Daphnia pulex: one gene and its partners. The protein of the gene in region 2 purifies or fractionates together with the protein of the main gene of each other region. This does not show direct contact. Links are inferred from orthologs where the notes say so. Each region holds a gene or a part of one and is shown on either strand. Other genes may lie near its edges. The genes, in order: AP-1 complex subunit gamma-1-like, AP-2 complex subunit mu and serine/threonine-protein phosphatase 6 regulatory ankyrin repeat subunit A-like.

Region 1 (5,629 bases), on a different chromosome or scaffold from region 2:
GACGTTGTTGTCATTTTCACGCGCCGCTACCCGTCAGGCCGGGTCGTCATCGGATGAATCGCAAGACCAATGGGCTTCCAGCGATGATTCTAGCGATCATCTTCAATCCGCCAAGGTATATTTTAATTAATTTTATTTGAAGTAATGTTGACTAATAATTATTAATAAAACAGAGATTGATGGCTTGTACGCCACCGAGAACTCCGAGTCCTACAAGTCCAGGCAGCGTCACTTCGATGCCCGTTTCGGTCATCATGATTGGCAAAAAGGACGGAACTGCCGAGCCTGTCCAGCAGCAGCAACAGCAGCAGCAACAAGAATTTAATCACGAAGAGGCTCAAGATAACAAGGAGAAGCTGATGGGCGGTCCTGCATTGCCAGGCCGTCAAATAATATTCGTCGAAAACAAAAACACCAACCGGCATTTACGCAACGCTCATTTCGGAACCGAACAGATCTTTGTAGCCAACAAAGACACTAACCGGGAAGCACGGGAAATCACCAATCACAAGCCACCACCGAATAATAATAATAATAATAATAATAATGAAAATAATAATGAAAATAGTAGTGATGTATTTGTGCAGCAATTTTCTGTATCTCGCTTTGTACCTGAAATGACTATGCCGGCAACAACTTCTCAGGTAACACCAAAAAATTTAATTTGATTAGATAAGAGAGAATTTTTTTAACATTTTCGATTTTTTGATTGATAGGCGATCCCGATAAAATCGCCAGTGGCCATTGCTCCCAAATTGATGCTGAATAGTGCGGCTTTGGGTAATTGTAATGTAATCAATGGATCGTCAGCAACTCGAGTGATCCCGGTCGTGCCGTTGGGGGCAGCAACCGGTGCCGATATTGGCTCGATGGGCGCCAATGGCGCTACTCTTTTCCTGGCACCCTGTGATAACAACGGACAAATAACGCATTTTGTTTTGACTACGGCCGGTATCCCATCCATGACCCTCATCGCTCCAAACAAGATGGTATATACCATTTGATTACGATTTTTCAAACTCGGTCATGTAAAACTAAAATCGAATGTTGGAATTCCAGGAAAGGGAGGTGGATAAACGTCGGCGTATTTATGAATGCCAATTCGAAGGATGTGGCAAAAACTATTTTAAATCATCTCATTTGAAGGCTCACATGAGGACTCATACTGGTAGGTTATAATTATTTAAAAAGGTTTCTCACAAATTTTTTATTCAAATTTTTTCCCTAATCGACTTAGGTGAGAAACCATTCGTCTGCAGCTGGGATGGATGTGATCGCCGTTTCTCGCGTTCAGACGAACTGTCCCGTCACAAACGCACTCACACTGGCGAAAAAAAGGTATAATTTCTAATTTTTGTTTTGTAAAACAATTTGAATTCTTTACAATTGAATTTTTAAAAACAGTTTAGCTGCCCAGTTTGCCAACGCCGTTTCATGCGCTCTGACCACTTGACCAAGCACGTCCGTCGTCATGCTCGCGAGCAAAAACCAATGGCTTGGCAGCTGGCCACTCGCAAACTAGCCTCAGCTAGTTCTTCTACTGCTGTTACTGCTCCTACTACTACTGCCGGCCCTGCTGTGGCTTCTCAATTGATCCCGGCGCAGATTATCCTCTCCGCCTCAACTGCCATTCCCTCAATTTAAGAAAAGAAAAAATAAGCAAAATGATGATGAAATGTTTATTATTTTTCGAATCCTTTTTTTTGTTTTTACTTTGGGGGGTTAGTAGTTACATATGTTTATTTGTTTTTAAAAGCAGACAAAAAGGGCGGGACCTCTGTAGGACACAGTATATATACATCAGCTGTGTGTCTACGGTCGGTCAGTAGGTTATCTCTTCATAACAGCAGCAGCAGGGGGAAGGGGGCGGATATATTTTGTAATGTCCTCTTGTTTTATTTCATTTTTCTTGTTTCAGTTGTCGATGCAACGGCGACACAAATTTCTGTCCCGACCATCGACACGACACATTTTGTTGTGTTATTTGTTAAAACGATTCGTTCGAGCCGTCTAGAGCTTGTTAATTATTTTTATTCACACACACACACACACAAATGATTTATGATAACTATCGAGCTAAATAATAATCGTGTTTCGAACGAATGGACATAATAAATTACGATATTGATCAAGAATATTACGGGTCTAGAATATGAATACAATTAAATAACATTATAAAAAAAAAGCTTTTCTTTTTAACAACACAATGTCGGGAATCAATCGACGTATATATAAGAAAACATAAGAAAACGTACACCCACCGACAACCGCCCCCATTTCCCGACCGGTCTGAATTTTGTTTATTCGGCAATGCTCCACGTCACCTGGGCTGAAAAAGATGGTGGTCGTCGTGTTAGTTTATGACAAATTTTTTAACCGTGCGTGAACTATATACTAGAGCACTCTCTTTAATATATATATATATTTACAATTTACTTTTGTTTGTTGTGCGTGAATCTTTCTCGAAGGCGGCTACGAGTTTTGTTGTTAATCAAAACTCTTTGTTTCTCGAATTTTTGAAAAAAAGTTACCGTGTAGCCATTCGGTGAGTGTTTTATAGACTTGACATGGTTTTTTTTTCTTCTCTCTTTTTCACGAACGATTTGTAAACTGTTAGGCTGTCCATCTGTATTCTAACAAGTGGGTCATTAAGGGAAAACTAAATTATTTTCAAGTTGTAGTTGACCTCAACCTATTGGGAATTTTGTTTGATAGTTTTGGGTAGCATATTAAAACTAAACAACATAAGATTTGACATTGATTGTGTGCTCGACAATACAGGGCTGAACAACACCCACTACAATGGCTAATGCTATTAAGCAAGTCATCAATGAGGTGGCTGAAAAAGGTATGATAAGTCAAAGCATTTATCTTGTATGATGTAATACCCATTTTTGATTTCTATTATTCAGTTAAAATGCCCTCCACGCCCACTCGTCTGAGGGATTTGATACGCCAGATTCGTGCTGCCAGGACAGCTGCAGAGGAGCGGGCTGTGGTGAACAAAGAATGTGCCTACATTAGGGCATCATTCAGGGAAGAGGATTCACAGTGGAGATGTCGGAATGTTGCCAAGCTGCTCTACATACACATGCTTGGCTACCCAGCTCATTTCGGTCAACTAGAGTGTCTGAACCTCATTGCCTCACCCAGGTTCACCGATAAACGAATTGGATATCTTGGGGCAATGCTTTTGCTGGATGAACGCCAAGATATTCATGTCCTCATCACCAACTCCTTGAAGAAGTATGTCTCTGTTCATATTCAATTTCTCTAATGAGATTACCTTTGTCAACCTGTTTTCTACTCTAGTGATTTAAACAACCCCGTCCAGTTTATCGTTGGTTTGGCCCTGTGCACCTTGGGTGCCATTGCGTCGCCTGAAATGTCACGCGATTTGGCCTCTGAAGTTGAGCGGTTGCTCAAGTCCACCAACGCCTACTTAAGGAAGAAGGCGGCCTTGTGTGCTTTCCGAATTATCGGCAAAGTGCCAGAGCTCATGGAAATGTTTTTACCCGCCACAAGATCACTCATCTCAGATAAAAATCACGGTATTCACTCTTGAACATTGTACATGTCTCTTTTACTGGTACTAAAAATTATTTGATGGAATTAGGCGTTTTAATTACGGGAGTCACACTAATCATCGAAATGTGCGAACGGAGTCCAGACACTTTGATTCACTTCAAAAAGGTACACGTCGGATTTTAAAAAATCCTTTTCTGAACGAATTTCTATCGTTTATTTATGCAATCCTCGTTATTTTTAACAAATTATTAATCAATCCACATCCTTTAATTAATCAAATCGTGAAGAAAAACTGAATGTTAATACGTTCCCGTTTGTTTTTTTTGTTTTGTTTCTGTTTCCTTGTTGCGGGATCATCTCTCTCTCTCCCCCCTACGTTGACAAAAACAAAATTTCTTTGCTTTACTTAGGAGCATCGCGAGGTAAAGCATCTTTCGATGTTGTTCGATCCTCTGCACACTCTTGCAATGCACCCTTTTGTTTGTCTGTGTCTGTTTTGTTTGTTTGGGTCGCGTTTTTCGGTGTTTTAATTGGCGTCGTCTGGGCGCAGTTTTAACGATTCTAATTGTTATCTTTTATTTTGATCGTTCTCTCCGCAAATACCAGGTGGTCCCCAGTTTAGTGCGTATTCTCAAGAATTTGATCATGGCAGGTTATTCACCAGAGCATGATGTTTCTGGTGTGAGCGACCCCTTTCTCCAGGTACAATTTTTTACGACTAGATTGTCTTTCTGCAATTAATAAATTCTTGAACACAGGTGAAAATTTTGCGGTTGTTGCGAGTCCTGGGCCATAACGACGCCGAAGCTTCTGAAGCGATGAACGACATTTTGGCGCAGGTGGCCACCAATACGGAGACGTCGAAGAATGTCGGCAACGCCATTCTGTATGAAACGGTGCTTTCGATCATGCACATCAAGTCGGAGAGTGGCTTACGTGTCCTGGCCGTCAACATTCTCGGCCGCTTTCTGCTCAATAGCGACAAGAATATTCGATACGTGGCGCTCAACACGCTGTTGCGCACCGTTCACGCAGACAATTCGGCCGTCCAGCGACATCGTGCCACTATACTCGAGTGCCTTAAGGTTTTATCAAATTCTAAACTACACCAGTGGATTTGAATTTTAAATGAATCTTTGGAATTAATTAGGATCCCGATGTATCCATCAAGAGGAGGGCGCTGGAATTGAGTTTTGCGCTCATCAACGGATCCAACATCCGAGCAATGATGAAGGAGCTGTTGGCTTTTTTGGAGAAATCCGACGCCGAATTCAAGGCCCAGTGTTCGTCTGGAATTGTCAGCGCTACTGAAAGATTCTCACCCAACCGGCGGTGGCATGTCGATACACTGCTGAGAGTTTTGATTGCCGCTGGCAACTTTCTGCGAGACGACGTCGTTTCTAACACGATCCAAATCATTTCGGAGAGCGCCTCGCTCCAGGGCTACGCAGTCGGTCAGTTGTGGAGAGCCGTTAGCTGCTCTTCGGGCTCTTTACAGCACGACGGACAGCCGGGCGATTTAGACTTGCAAGGAGCTACGCTGCCCATCTCTGAACGCCAGCCTCTGGCTCAAGTCGCTTCGTGGTGCCTGGGCGAGTACGGCGACAGTCTCATCAATGGACACACCAACGCCAGCGAACAGGAAGAACCGGTCGTTGCCGGTGAGGACGAAGTGGTTGATTTCATTCAGGGCATTCTCTCGTCGAGCCAAAGTACCATCGTTACCAAGCAATATGCTTTGACGGCCCTCACCAAGCTCAGTACACGTTTCAGCGTCACTGTCGGGTAATTATATCTAATCAGTTGATTAAGAGAGTCGTAAACCAACTAATCTCGATTGTTTGTTTTGCATTCGTAGTCGTATCGAAGATATCGTGACCAGTTTCGGCACTCATTTGAATGTTGAGCTGCAGCAGCGCGGTATCGAGTACGCCCAGCTATTTACCAAGCACGTAGCACTACGTCCGGCCATCATGGAGCGCATACCGCCCATGGAACACAAGACATCACACCAGGGACTGACGAACGGAAGTTCCGGAGGAAACGGAGTCAGCAATGGCGACGATGACATGTTAATGGATGATTTGAATTCTTTCACGAC
Region 2 (5,918 bases):
CCCTGTCGGATCCGCAGTCTACCCGATTGGAATGACGGGAACGCACAACATACGTTCTGCAACTCCCATGAATAATTTTCAAAACATGAATGGCGATCTTAGCCAGCACCAACACGGACAATTAAACATTCATATGCCAATGTCCAGCAGTCAATCGAATACGACTTGCTTCATTACAAATCCGGCCGTGACCTCATCAGCTCGAATGCCCACTCCATTAGGTGGCGGATTGATTACCGTTGGACCGGCTGCGCCATTATCCGCCATGGCCAATATGACGCACGCAGTACCTCCATCTTCGTCGCCAATCACCATTTCCACTCAGGGACCACGAATGGCTATGTCGACTTTACAGCCAGTAACAGTTACTGTCTCAGCTTCCCCAGCACCTCAATTTCCTCTACCTTCTCCGGCTCGGACACAGCCATCAACAACACCGCTGCCCAGTACTACCGAAAAAGTAGAAGAGCCGAAACCATCTCCTCGCAATGCAGTAACCGACTCTCAAACCCCTTCGGCCCCTACGACAACAACTCCTGCTGTAGAGGAACCGTCTACCGAAAAGAAAGAAACGCCTCAGATGAACGGAATAGGAGGAAATCAAGGAGATCATCACATGGTTAGTCATTCGCCAGCTATCCGCGAGAAAAAAGACCCCAATTTGCCTCAAGCAGTTGTACGGCCTCAGATATTGACCCACGTATTGGGTGACTTTGTGATCCAAGAGTCATCGGAACCTTTCCCAGTCGGCCGTTTCCATCCGAATGAATCTCTGACGCGCTGCAACGGACAACGGAATCAAGATCACAGTTTCAAATTGGATGGAGAACCTCCGAGTAAGATTATTTTTTCAAATAATTGATGTTTTGTTTGATTGCATGTATTTAGTTTTGCCAAAGTTTGGTTTACTCATGACCCAAATTCCCCCCTCCCTTAAACAGAGAAAAAATTACATATGGAACAACCTACAGTGACCCATCAATCTCCACCTCTGGCACCCCCGCCTGCGCCGCCTACCACCACAACAACTAACGATCTTCAGCAGATGTCGACGCCTAAAGGAGCTACCATGGCCACATGCGAGGGATGTGGAAAAATGGATTTCATTTCCAAATTTCGTCGTTCAAAACGCTTTTGTTCCACAGCCTGCTCGAAAAAGTATGTCATTAACCCATTTATCTTTTGACTCTTTTAATTTTAACCGTGTTTGTTTACTTTTGAAATAGGTCTAACATAAATGCTTCGCCAGCAGTTGGACCCGTTCAGCCGAATCAACAGCAGCAGCAGCAGCAGGAAACTGTCTCGACAACGACTTGTGTCAACGGTCAGGGAGTAAAAGCAGCCGTTGGCGGTGGTGGTGGGCTACTGACCACTGCGACGTCAACCACTCACTCACCCGCTGCTGCTTCAACAACAGCCGAAGCCAACAACAAATTGGCTTCTCCAACGGCCGTGACAATTCCTCAGGGCCCAACTCCTCCAACGAGCTTTGCTCCCTCTGGAGATAAAGAAGATATCAGCTTGGATGCAGAGTTGTGTGCTCTGGCTGCTCAGCAATTGCGTTCTCCCACAGCCTCACTATCTCAAACACCAACTCACCAGCTCAAACCTGAGCCGAAAACTAATCCAGCCAAGTGGAGTGTAAGTTATTTATTGTTACGACTTAGATTGCACTGATAATTAAGACTTCTATTCATTCAGGTTACCGAGGTCGCGGATTTCGTGCGAAGTTTAACTGGATGTGCAGATTATGCCGAAGATTTCGCATTGCAGGAAATTGATGGCCAAGCGCTCATGTTATTGAAAGCCGATCATTTGATGTCTGCCATGTCGATGAAACTTGGGCCGGCATTGAAGATTTGCGCCAAGATTGATGCTATGCGTGGTGCATCCTCCTCTGAGGGCGGTAATAGCAATCCACAAAACGGAAATTAATGTGGGAAAAGTTCAATCCCCCATTTTTGTGTTGTTCTCCACCAGAAATCGATACGTGTTATGTTTGCCTCATTCAACTGTAATTTGACTCATTGTACTTTTCTGTCTATAGTTTGTTTATGGTTCACGATATGTTTCTTCGTCATTTCTCTCTACGTATTTTGCTTTGGTTATTCACCTTCATTACAGTAATTCTCATTTCGTATGACACATAGATCGTCAGTGAACAAATATATATATATAGATCATTCATACAAAATGTAATGCTCGGTGTAACAAAAGGCATTTAGGACAAAAATGCCATATAACCGCATATAACATTTTCGGAACGAAGAATTTTCGTTTTCAGTGTAATAAATTGACATTGTAATAATAATTTAAATATACATAAAAATCCATTGAATCAAACGTATTTCGTATTATTTTTAATGGTATATTTTTAAAAAATGCTTGAATCAGTCGAATTCTTGAAAATGATTTTAACCTTGAAAGTTCTACTTCCACCCGAGTATTTCAAATGTGGCGCTCCGAGCGCTTTACGGACTTCAGCTGTTTGGCCTGTGATATGGATTGACTTTCTTTCTTGTTAGCACTGTGTTACTGTCATTTCACTCTGACAGTACAAGTCTGCTATCAAACCAAATTGAATACTTATCCACAGTGGGAGAAATTGGGCTGGTAACAGTTACTTTGAGGTAAGAGGTTATGTTTTTTTCGTTGGTGTGGTTTTGAATTATGATGTTTAAAGCGACACAAGACCGTGATCTTCAGGAACGGTGGTTGTGTGTTGGGTAATGCGAAAGTTTATTGGTAGGCGTTGCTCGATATATCAGCTAGTCTACCGGTATTGAGACGGGATATCCTGTGAAGGCAATCAAAAGAACTCGTGCATGCATGGCAAAAAGATAATTCAACATTTCAACAAAAAGTTGCATAGCTTCATTTGCATACTCTAGTTCACAGAGCAAACCATCTACCAAAGAGTTCTTATGGACTTGTATACATGCTAAATGTCATTCTGCACGTTTGAAAAAAAAGTGTTATTTTCTTCATTCATAGGTTTATCACAAAGCTTCAAGAGTCAAGATGATTGGAGGCCTTTTCATCTACAATCACAAAGGAGAGGTCCTAATATCACGTGTGTACCGTGATGACATTGGCAGAAATGCAGTTGATGCTTTCCGAGTAAATGTCATCCATGCTAGGCAGCAAGTCAGATCACCTGTTACAAACATTGCCAGAACCTCCTTCTTCCATGTTAAGGTATTTTCTGATTTGCCATTTTGAAATGTTTTAATGTTCTCAGGATCAATAATCCTTTACCTTTTTTTAGCGTGCTAATATTTGGGTGGCAGCTGTCACCAAACAAAATGTCAATGCCTCTATGGTTTTCGAGTTTCTCTTGAAGGTCACTGACTGCATGCAGTCATACTTTGGTAAGGTATCAGAGGAAAACATCAAGAACAATTTTGTCCTCATTTACGAACTTTTGGATGGTATGTTGGGAAGCAAACACAATTTATTTGTTTGTGTGTTGTTCCTTATCCAATTTATTCATTCTATCAGAGATTCTTGATTTTGGCTATCCCCAAAATACCGACACGGGAGTGTTGAAGACGTTTATTACTCAGCAAGGTATTCGCACGCAAACCAAAGAAGAGCAGGCCCAGATTACCTCTCAGGTATAGATTCGCTCAAACAATTAATGCTCAATGATTGTTTTTAAAATATAATCATGTGGTTATGATTTCCAGGTGACAGGCCAAATCGGCTGGCGACGCGAAGGCATCAAGTACCGGCGAAACGAACTCTTCCTTGACGTATTGGAATACGTCAACCTTCTAATGTCGCCGCAGGGTCAAGTACTTTCAGCTCACGTGGCTGGCAAAGTAGTGATGAAATCCTACTTGTCAGGCATGCCCGAATGCAAGTTTGGAATCAACGATAAGATTATCATGGAGGCTAAGGGTAAACCTACTGCGGATGAATCCGCTGCTCGCACTGGCAAGACAGCTATTGTGATTGACGACTGTCAATTTCACCAGTGTGTCAAGTTGTCTAAATTCGAAACGGAGCATTCGATTAGCTTTATTCCCCCTGACGGAGAGTTTGAACTCATGAGGTTAGTCTGTTCTCCTTTGGTATATACATTGAATTTATGCTAACAAGTGTTATTTTCGATTGCAGGTACCGAACGACCAAGGACATTTCGTTACCTTTCCGAGTTATACCGTTGGTGCGCGAAGTGGGCCGGACAAAGATGGAAGTCAAAGTGGTTGTCAAGTCTAACTTCAAACCTTCGCTCCTGGCACAGAAAATCGAGATACGCATTCCAACGCCTCTCAATACATCGGGCGTTCAACTTTTGTGCATGAAAGGCAAAGCCAAGTACAAAGCTTCTGAGAACGCCATCGTTTGGAAGTCAGTTGCAAACTTTTCTTTAGATCAAACATTAGAGCTGTGTTGTTAAACTTGTGTGGTGTTGATGTTGACAGGATCAAACGGATGGGAGGTATGAAGGAATCACAACTTTCAGCTGAAATTGAGCTTTTGCAAACGGACACGAAAAAGAAGTGGACTCGACCCCCCATTTCCATGAACTTTGAGGTATTTTCGAGGATGATGTGTGTCGTGCATATCGATTGCTCTAATTTGGATTTCTATCATAGGTTCCGTTTGCACCATCGGGCTTTAAAGTTCGATATTTGAAAGTCTTTGAACCCAAGTTGAACTATTCTGATCACGACGTCATCAAATGGGTTCGCTACATCGGACGCAGCGGCCTCTACGAAACGCGTTGCTGAAGAAACGGACGATTCATTTTCGTTGGAAGATGAAGAAACTCGTCTCCAATTCTATTTCTCCTCTTCATGATTAACCCATCACTTACTACTCGTCCGAAAGAAGAAAAAAAAAGAAGAAAGATCTTTGTTAGTCTGTCTTATACTTAGGTCGATGTCGTTGTTGCATCTGCTGAGCGGTGCGAGAGAGTGGATGAATCCTGCTAATGGGAAAAGTAGCTCTGTCTGTTAAGTTTCTTTCATCCAGGATCAAAATTCTGTTTAGTTTAATATTCAAAAGCTTGTACTTCTCTCATCTACTTCTTTTCTCTTCCTTTTATTTTTTTTCATCCGTGTTGAGTGTTGAGTACGTCGTCGGAATTATTTTTCCTTCCCATCTATATCATTGTTAGTGCGCAGAGAGCGAAATTAACCCCCTTCTCCCCCTACCCCCAAAAAAAGAAAAAAAATATCCACAGAATAGTCGTCTTGACTGGATTGCGTTGTTACTGCTTGGATTAGCAGTTCGCGTTCTCTCTCTCTCTTTTTCTCTCTCTGTTTGTGCGCGTGATTTATATGTTACATGTTTTGATTTACCCAGTTTTTTTTTGTGTCTGTGCACATTACATTAGGGATGAGTAACTGAGCCTCCACCGTGGCTGTCACTTGAGTTGCTTGTTTTCTATCCTCTTCGTTTGTGAAGGGTGAGCCAGAAGCGAAATGTTGGTAGGGAAAAAAGGGAGAGCTAGAGACAGTCGGCGGGCAAGAAGTTGTTAACCCAAAAAGATATGAGCGTGATGCCATGTCGGACCCCATGTCCATGTTACCCATAAATGGTGACGAATCGAGATCTGCCTGATATAACTTTTATTTCCGAGAGTTTTTTTATATAGTAGAGTTGCTCAACTTTTGGTACGACACGAATGGAATAATTTTCACCTCCCTCGCTCCGCTGGAAACTAAAAGAAGGAAAAGAGAAAGAATTCAATCATCCCCAATCGTTCATTCATGCATGCTTCGTACGCGCTTCTTCTTGTGTTCGTTTTTCCGGGTCGACCGGGGAAAATACGCTCCATCGATCCTGCTGTCGAACTGGGAACATGGTTCCTTTACTTCCACAAATCCGTTTTTAGACTTGTATATACCGAGAAGTGAAAAGTCCATGTCATTGAAAATGGCTGAAAGATATGACTAAATTGAAGA
Region 3 (5,620 bases), on a different chromosome or scaffold from region 2:
TTGTGCTAATTTATCGTTGGGTTAGGGGTGGCTATTTAATTATCAAATTTACATGTGCGTTTCAAATCATTGTATTCGTCCACTACATAAGCAAGTGCACACTGACGTGCAAAATATTATATAACTATTATATCTAATCAATTTTCTAATGAACCTGGGCCGCGGTGAGGTCATCGCACACTAATTGATTAGATAATAATAAGAAACGTACAGACAGAAAAAAATTCTGGGCCATTTTCGATAAATCCCCGATCGCACAGTCAATCCAGTAGAAACTAACCCTCCGAATAGCACTTGATTTATGCACTGCTTATTTCCTCCTAGTTTACAAGAGGCCTGAGAAGAGTCCTATAGTCGGTCCGAAGCGATGAAAATGAGCAACAAAATTGAGTTTTTATTTTGTTTCTCAATTTGTTGCATCTTAAATCACGTGGCAACAAAAGAAGCGTTTTTCTAGAATGTTGCTCTTTTAAAACACAAAATAATTAATTAACAAGACGATGAACTGTCCGGCTGCTGCCGAACTGGCATTCCCTGGTTTAAGAATTCTAAATAGTGGGCTAACTAGAACTTTGCCTCATCTCTCAACATGATGGACTATACCCTTAATTATATCCTCAACCGTTAAAAAATCAGACTAGTAACGATTAGATGACAGAGTTTTTTTTTTTAAATATTTTATATGATTTTTAAAGACCTTTTTACAAATTAAATGGCTGGGTAATAAAGAACTGAACTTGAATAGGGACATACGAGAAACAAAAAGAAACTATGAAACGTTATTATTATTGTTTTGATTAAAAATGAGTTTATTACACGTAGGAATACACAGTAACGCACTAACTATTTTTGTGAAACGACCGAAAGGAAAGGTTTCGAAAGATCGACTTATCAACTACAAGTTAATATTGAATTATAGACGTTAGTTTGCATAAGTTCGGTACTTTCCATTCTGCGTGATCCAACATACAAAATTATATCATGTGAAACATTTAACACAAATTAATTAACAAACAATTATGTAATATGTTTAATTGGACAGTACGTGTTGCACGCTTAATTGTTGTTAAAGTATTTATCCTGCGTTAGTCGTTTTTTAGTTCCTCAAACAGTCACACCTTTTCATTTTGTGTTTTCTCCTTCCTTTTAGTAGAACATATTTCGCGTGTCAGTTATTTTCCTTGAGTTGATATTTGCAAAGAAAATCTTTCTTAAAAATTATTTTTTTTTTGTATAATTTTTATATGGTTAACACTATTATTTCATAAAGACGTAGTTTTGCGCCAAGGAATTACACATCGGGAAATCGAATATTCCAAATCCTTAACGTAACATTTTAATTTTTTCAAAATATTAGGAACATTTGAATAGAGATGTCCTTGATTTATTGGCTGTAATATCTATGTCCACATATTTGAATTCCGTGTTGTATGTTATCACGAAATAAAAGCATCCGAAAAGCAACGGATTATTATCACTCTCCTTTCATTTAAATATTACGAAGAATTGCCGTGCCCGGCCGGTCCCTCTTGGGTTAGTCTAGATTATATCTTTCTAATTAATGAAGGGATAAAAGCCTGGTCCGAGTAGCGAACACAAAAACAAATCGATGTCAAATCAAATCAAACTTGATGACAGTTTGGAGTTTGAACTTGTCATTTTAGCACACCTGACGTCTGCTAGGAACCTGGTCTACACGCTGCATGGCAAGTTCCAGAGATGGCGCTGGCGACTGGCTGGTTTGAAAATTTGAAGGAAGAAATTCAAAGAGACCAGATTTTTCCAAACTAGCCCCTCCCCTTGGATAGACACGTGACCATCCCACGTATATACGTATCATACTGCTGTGCTTTGCTCATGACACCACGGTGGTGCATGGTGGCGCACGACATAACAAAACCATTTAGTTCTTCCGGTTCTTCCTTCATGTGGTTTTGTTACTCATGTAAATTCCTTTCTCAATTTTTTTCGTGAACGAGACCGGAAAGTTGTTTGAAATGGTTATCTTAGATCTTAATAATGAAGTGAGTTTGCTTACAGACAGAATTGTGTCAATAATTAACAGAAATCGTGCGATTAAAGTATTCAATATTCACAAACAAAGTATTTTGATTTTACTTTGTTTTCAATTTTTCAAAATGCATCAAACTGTTTCAGTTTTAACGTTGTGACGCAAGTACCAGTGTCTCGACGGTTGAGATGAAATCGCTTTACAACTTAAGTGACACTAATTATGTTGCTATGTTAAAATTATTAGTTAAATATGACTGACGTAAATTTGCATTTTTGCAGCCTCTTCTTGTTCAAGCAATTTTCAAAGGAGATTTCAACGAAATAAAAAATCTATTGAAGGAAAATGTTGACATCAATTATCAAGATGAAGAAAAACGCAGTCCGTTGCATGCTGCTGCATTCAAAGGTGATGCCAACATCACAGACTTTTTAATACAAAAGGGAGCAAGAATAAATATCAAAGATTCCAAGTGGCTTACACCTTTACATAGAGCTTGCAAATCAGGAAATGAGGTAACAAAATAATGATTTGATGATAAATGTTTATAGTTTTCTCTAGTAGTTACACATATTTGGTTTATTTTGCAGGATGCAGTTAATGTTTTGCTGAAGTATAATGCTGATACCAATGCTCGTGATAAAAACTGGCAGACTCCTTTACATGTGGCCAGCTGTAATAATGCTTACAAATGTGCTGAAGCCCTACTCGCTTCATCTCCTACTGTAAATGTTTCTGACAGAACAGGTCGTACAGCACTGCATCATGCTTCTTTTAATGGGTGAGATTTGTGATCTCTGTGATGTGTTTAGTTTCCCTAACTGATTTTGTTCATTTTTCTAGTCACTGTGATTTGGTAGAACTTTTGATTGAGCATGGAGCCTCGGTGAATGCGTTCGACAAAAGAGATAGACGCGCACTACATTGGGCATCTTACATGGGTCATGAGTCCGTCGTGAAAATCTTACTGCAGAATGGAGCTGAAGTAAATATACGAGATAAAGACTTGTATTCGCCATTGCACGCGGTAATTTCCCAATAACATTTGTCTTACCATGTTTTACCACTAACTCTAAGTTCCGCCAAATAATTATGAGAATTCACGGAAATAACACCCATTAATTTGAATTAGGCTGCTGCTAGTGGACAAGTTTTTGTGGTGCAACAACTCCTAGAAGCGGGGGCCGATTTTAATGCCAGTAATTCATTCGGTAACACTCCGCTTCATACAGCTTGTCTTAACGGACATGAATTGGTCTGTCAGGATCTCATAGCATCAGGAACTTCTGTCAGTGCTGTAAATTTAGCAGGGCAGACTCCAATTCATGTATCTGCTGCTGCGACTCATGTAAGCCGAAAAATCACTTTAGATGAATACAATTTACGTTTGATTTTGAACATTCTTACATAGGGAGAACGTTGCTTGGGCCTTCTCATAGAACGAGATGCGAATATAAATTTTCAAGCTAAAGACGGGTATTAACTTATCACTTTGTTAACAGCATGGAAACATAAATCACAATGTAAAATTCATTTGATTTTAGGCGCACCCCTTTACACATGACCGCAATTCACGGGCGATTTATGAGAGCACAAATGCTTTTGGATCGAGGAGCGCTAGTTGATATCGGAGACAAAGAAGGTTGCACTATCTTTCTTTTTTAACTATTCAATCATCTTAATATTTTTTAGCTTGTCATGAGTTGACACATATTTTTATATATTCATTAATTACTCACTCGACATAGTTTTTAAATGGATATAGACAAGCTACAGCTAGGTATTCTAAGCAATCGGTTTACGCTAATCCATTAGAAATTTGTGCTATAATTCTAGTGATAAAGTAATTTGTTATTTGTTGACTATTTTCTCATTAGATATTAATTCGCTGGTCAAAACCATCGGAATAAAAACACCTCGTATTTATTATGGTTATTTTTGGTTTCCTTTTAAGGTTGCACTGCCCTACACATTGCAGCTGCACACGGGCACGAACTATTGATTGGCGTGCTTCTCAACGTCGGGGCTGATCCTAGCCGAAAAGGTCGTAGTGGCATGACTCCAATGCACTTAGCAGCCCTCAGCGGCTATGTAGAATGTTGTCGAAAGCTCCTTCAAGTCCGTGGTGAATTAGATGCTCAAGATGATTGCGGAAGAACATGCCTTCATCTGTGTGCTTTTAAAGGAAACGCTGAATGCCTTGATTTACTTATCAGTAGTGGAGCTGATTTTAATTTGATCGACTCCTTTGGTCGGATTCCATTGCATTATGCTGCAAGTCAAGCTCATTTCCAATGCGTCTATACTTTAGTCAGTGTGGGGTCCAGTGTAAATTTAACAGATTCAACCGGTGCAACTGCCCTCCATTACGCCGCTGCTATGGACACCGACGGCAAGTGTGTAGAATATTTACTGAAACGCAAAGCAGACGTCTCCGCTTTGGACAAGCAAGGCTATTCGGTACTTCACTACGCTGCGGCAGGTTTGCATTCCCAGAGTTGTTCGGAAAAATAACAAATGATGTTTACTATTTTTTTTTTATTCTACATAGGTGGACAGCATGGAGCCTTACATGTGCTGTTGAAACACTTTGTGATACCCAATAGCAACGGTCACACCGATGAATCAATGAACGTCTCCCCCCTTCATTTAGCCGCTTATAAAGGTCACAAAGGAGGCGTAACGTCTCTGGCAGCCATACATCCCGATGTAAATATCACTGATTCCAGCGGACGGACTGCACTGGATCTCTCTGCTCAATTTGGCCACATCGAATGTATAAATGCATTAATTGAACACGGTGCTCAACCCGTTGCCCAGCCGAAAACTCTGTTAACTGCAGTTCACAGAGCAGCAGCCAACGGACATTCCTTGTGCCTCAAACAATTGCTACATACGTAACAGCAATCAAAGATTTCATGTGTTTTTAGTTTATTTGATCAAGTTTCTAATTCAAACGATAGGCATATGCAGCTTGTGGATGTGCGCGATTCCAAAAAGCGAACGCCATTAATGCTCGCCGTACAAAACGAAAACGAAGGACGAAAAGCGTGTACCGACATCCTGCTGAGTTACACTTCTCAAGTGGATCTTTTTGATAACAACGGTCGAACGGCTTTACACTACGCTTCATGTCGAGGATTCGAAGATTGTGTCTCCTCGTTATTAGATGCTAAAGCCTCGCCGTATCAAAAGGATTTCCTAGGGAAAACTCCGTTTCACCTAGCGGCAGCCATGGGACATGTTTATGTGCTCAAACAGCTTATACAACAAGGCGCCGATTCTTTAGGTGATGTGAAACTACTAGACCATCAAAGCTATACGCCACTTCATTGGGCAGCTTATAAGGGTGAGGAATCTTTCCTTGTTTTTTCTCATTTCTTCATTTCCCTTTTTTTGATTCATCTCAGCGATAGCATTTGGTCTTTGAAGCCTTTTATATTATATTGTCCACTCTCAGTTTGCCTGAATAATAATTGTCCTAGTGTAGTATGTTAATTGAAAATTCTAACCATCAATCATATCGTCCTGACCGCCCCTTTTCCTTGGTTTATTTGCAGGCCGTGAAAATTGTGTTGAAGTGCTCCTAGGACTTGATTCAGGATCGAC

The links.
Region 1: the proteins of AP-2 complex subunit mu (region 2) and AP-1 complex subunit gamma-1-like purify together in Homo sapiens (affinity purification with mass spectrometry; 3 studies listed by BioGRID and IntAct, counting the BioPlex papers as one, with this or other methods). This does not show direct contact. The link is inferred for Daphnia pulex from reciprocal best matches to the Homo sapiens genes AP2M1 and AP1G1.
Region 3: the proteins of AP-2 complex subunit mu (region 2) and serine/threonine-protein phosphatase 6 regulatory ankyrin repeat subunit A-like purify together in Homo sapiens (affinity purification with mass spectrometry; 3 studies listed by BioGRID and IntAct, counting the BioPlex papers as one, with this or other methods). This does not show direct contact. The link is inferred for Daphnia pulex from reciprocal best matches to the Homo sapiens genes AP2M1 and ANKRD28.

What each region holds. Positions count from the first base shown.
Region 1 is NC_060026.1:1,550,435-1,556,063, forward strand, and holds the start of AP-1 complex subunit gamma-1-like, read left to right. Parts: upstream 1-2,305; 5' UTR 2,306-2,545; intron 2,546-2,781; 5' UTR 2,782-2,802; coding exon 2,803-2,848; intron 2,849-2,912; coding exon 2,913-3,246; intron 3,247-3,312; coding exon 3,313-3,551; intron 3,552-3,616; coding exon 3,617-3,693; intron 3,694-3,938; coding exon 3,939-3,950; intron 3,951-4,134; coding exon 4,135-4,230; intron 4,231-4,286; coding exon 4,287-4,613; intron 4,614-4,678; coding exon 4,679-5,313; intron 5,314-5,386; coding exon 5,387-5,629. Other genes in the region: Krueppel-like factor 10, read left to right, coding at 1-115, 174-644, 717-989, 1,060-1,168, 1,238-1,338, 1,405-1,644. UniProt on the Homo sapiens protein: Subunit of clathrin-associated adaptor protein complex 1 that plays a role in protein sorting in the late-Golgi/trans-Golgi network (TGN) and/or endosomes.
Region 2 is NC_060028.1:9,467,944-9,473,861, reverse strand, and holds AP-2 complex subunit mu, read left to right. Parts: upstream 1-2,471; 5' UTR 2,472-2,630; intron 2,631-2,994; 5' UTR 2,995-3,021; coding exon 3,022-3,198; intron 3,199-3,268; coding exon 3,269-3,431; intron 3,432-3,501; coding exon 3,502-3,617; intron 3,618-3,689; coding exon 3,690-4,057; intron 4,058-4,122; coding exon 4,123-4,356; intron 4,357-4,430; coding exon 4,431-4,542; intron 4,543-4,604; coding exon 4,605-4,739; 3' UTR 4,740-5,361; downstream 5,362-5,918. Other genes in the region: polyhomeotic-proximal chromatin protein-like, read left to right, coding at 1-836, 942-1,158, 1,227-1,641, 1,702-1,935.
Region 3 is NC_060017.1:4,292,603-4,298,222, forward strand, and holds the start of serine/threonine-protein phosphatase 6 regulatory ankyrin repeat subunit A-like, read left to right. Parts: upstream 1-1,830; 5' UTR 1,831-1,997; coding exon 1,998-2,024; intron 2,025-2,202; exon of another isoform or gene 2,203-2,221; intron 2,222-2,292; coding exon 2,293-2,526; intron 2,527-2,601; coding exon 2,602-2,792; intron 2,793-2,854; coding exon 2,855-3,038; intron 3,039-3,143; coding exon 3,144-3,359; intron 3,360-3,422; coding exon 3,423-3,487; intron 3,488-3,555; coding exon 3,556-3,653; intron 3,654-3,965; coding exon 3,966-4,493; intron 4,494-4,562; coding exon 4,563-4,908; intron 4,909-4,974; coding exon 4,975-5,360; intron 5,361-5,571; coding exon 5,572-5,620. UniProt on the Homo sapiens protein: Regulatory subunit of protein phosphatase 6 (PP6) that may be involved in the recognition of phosphoprotein substrates. Involved in the PP6-mediated dephosphorylation of NFKBIE opposing its degradation in response to TNF-alpha.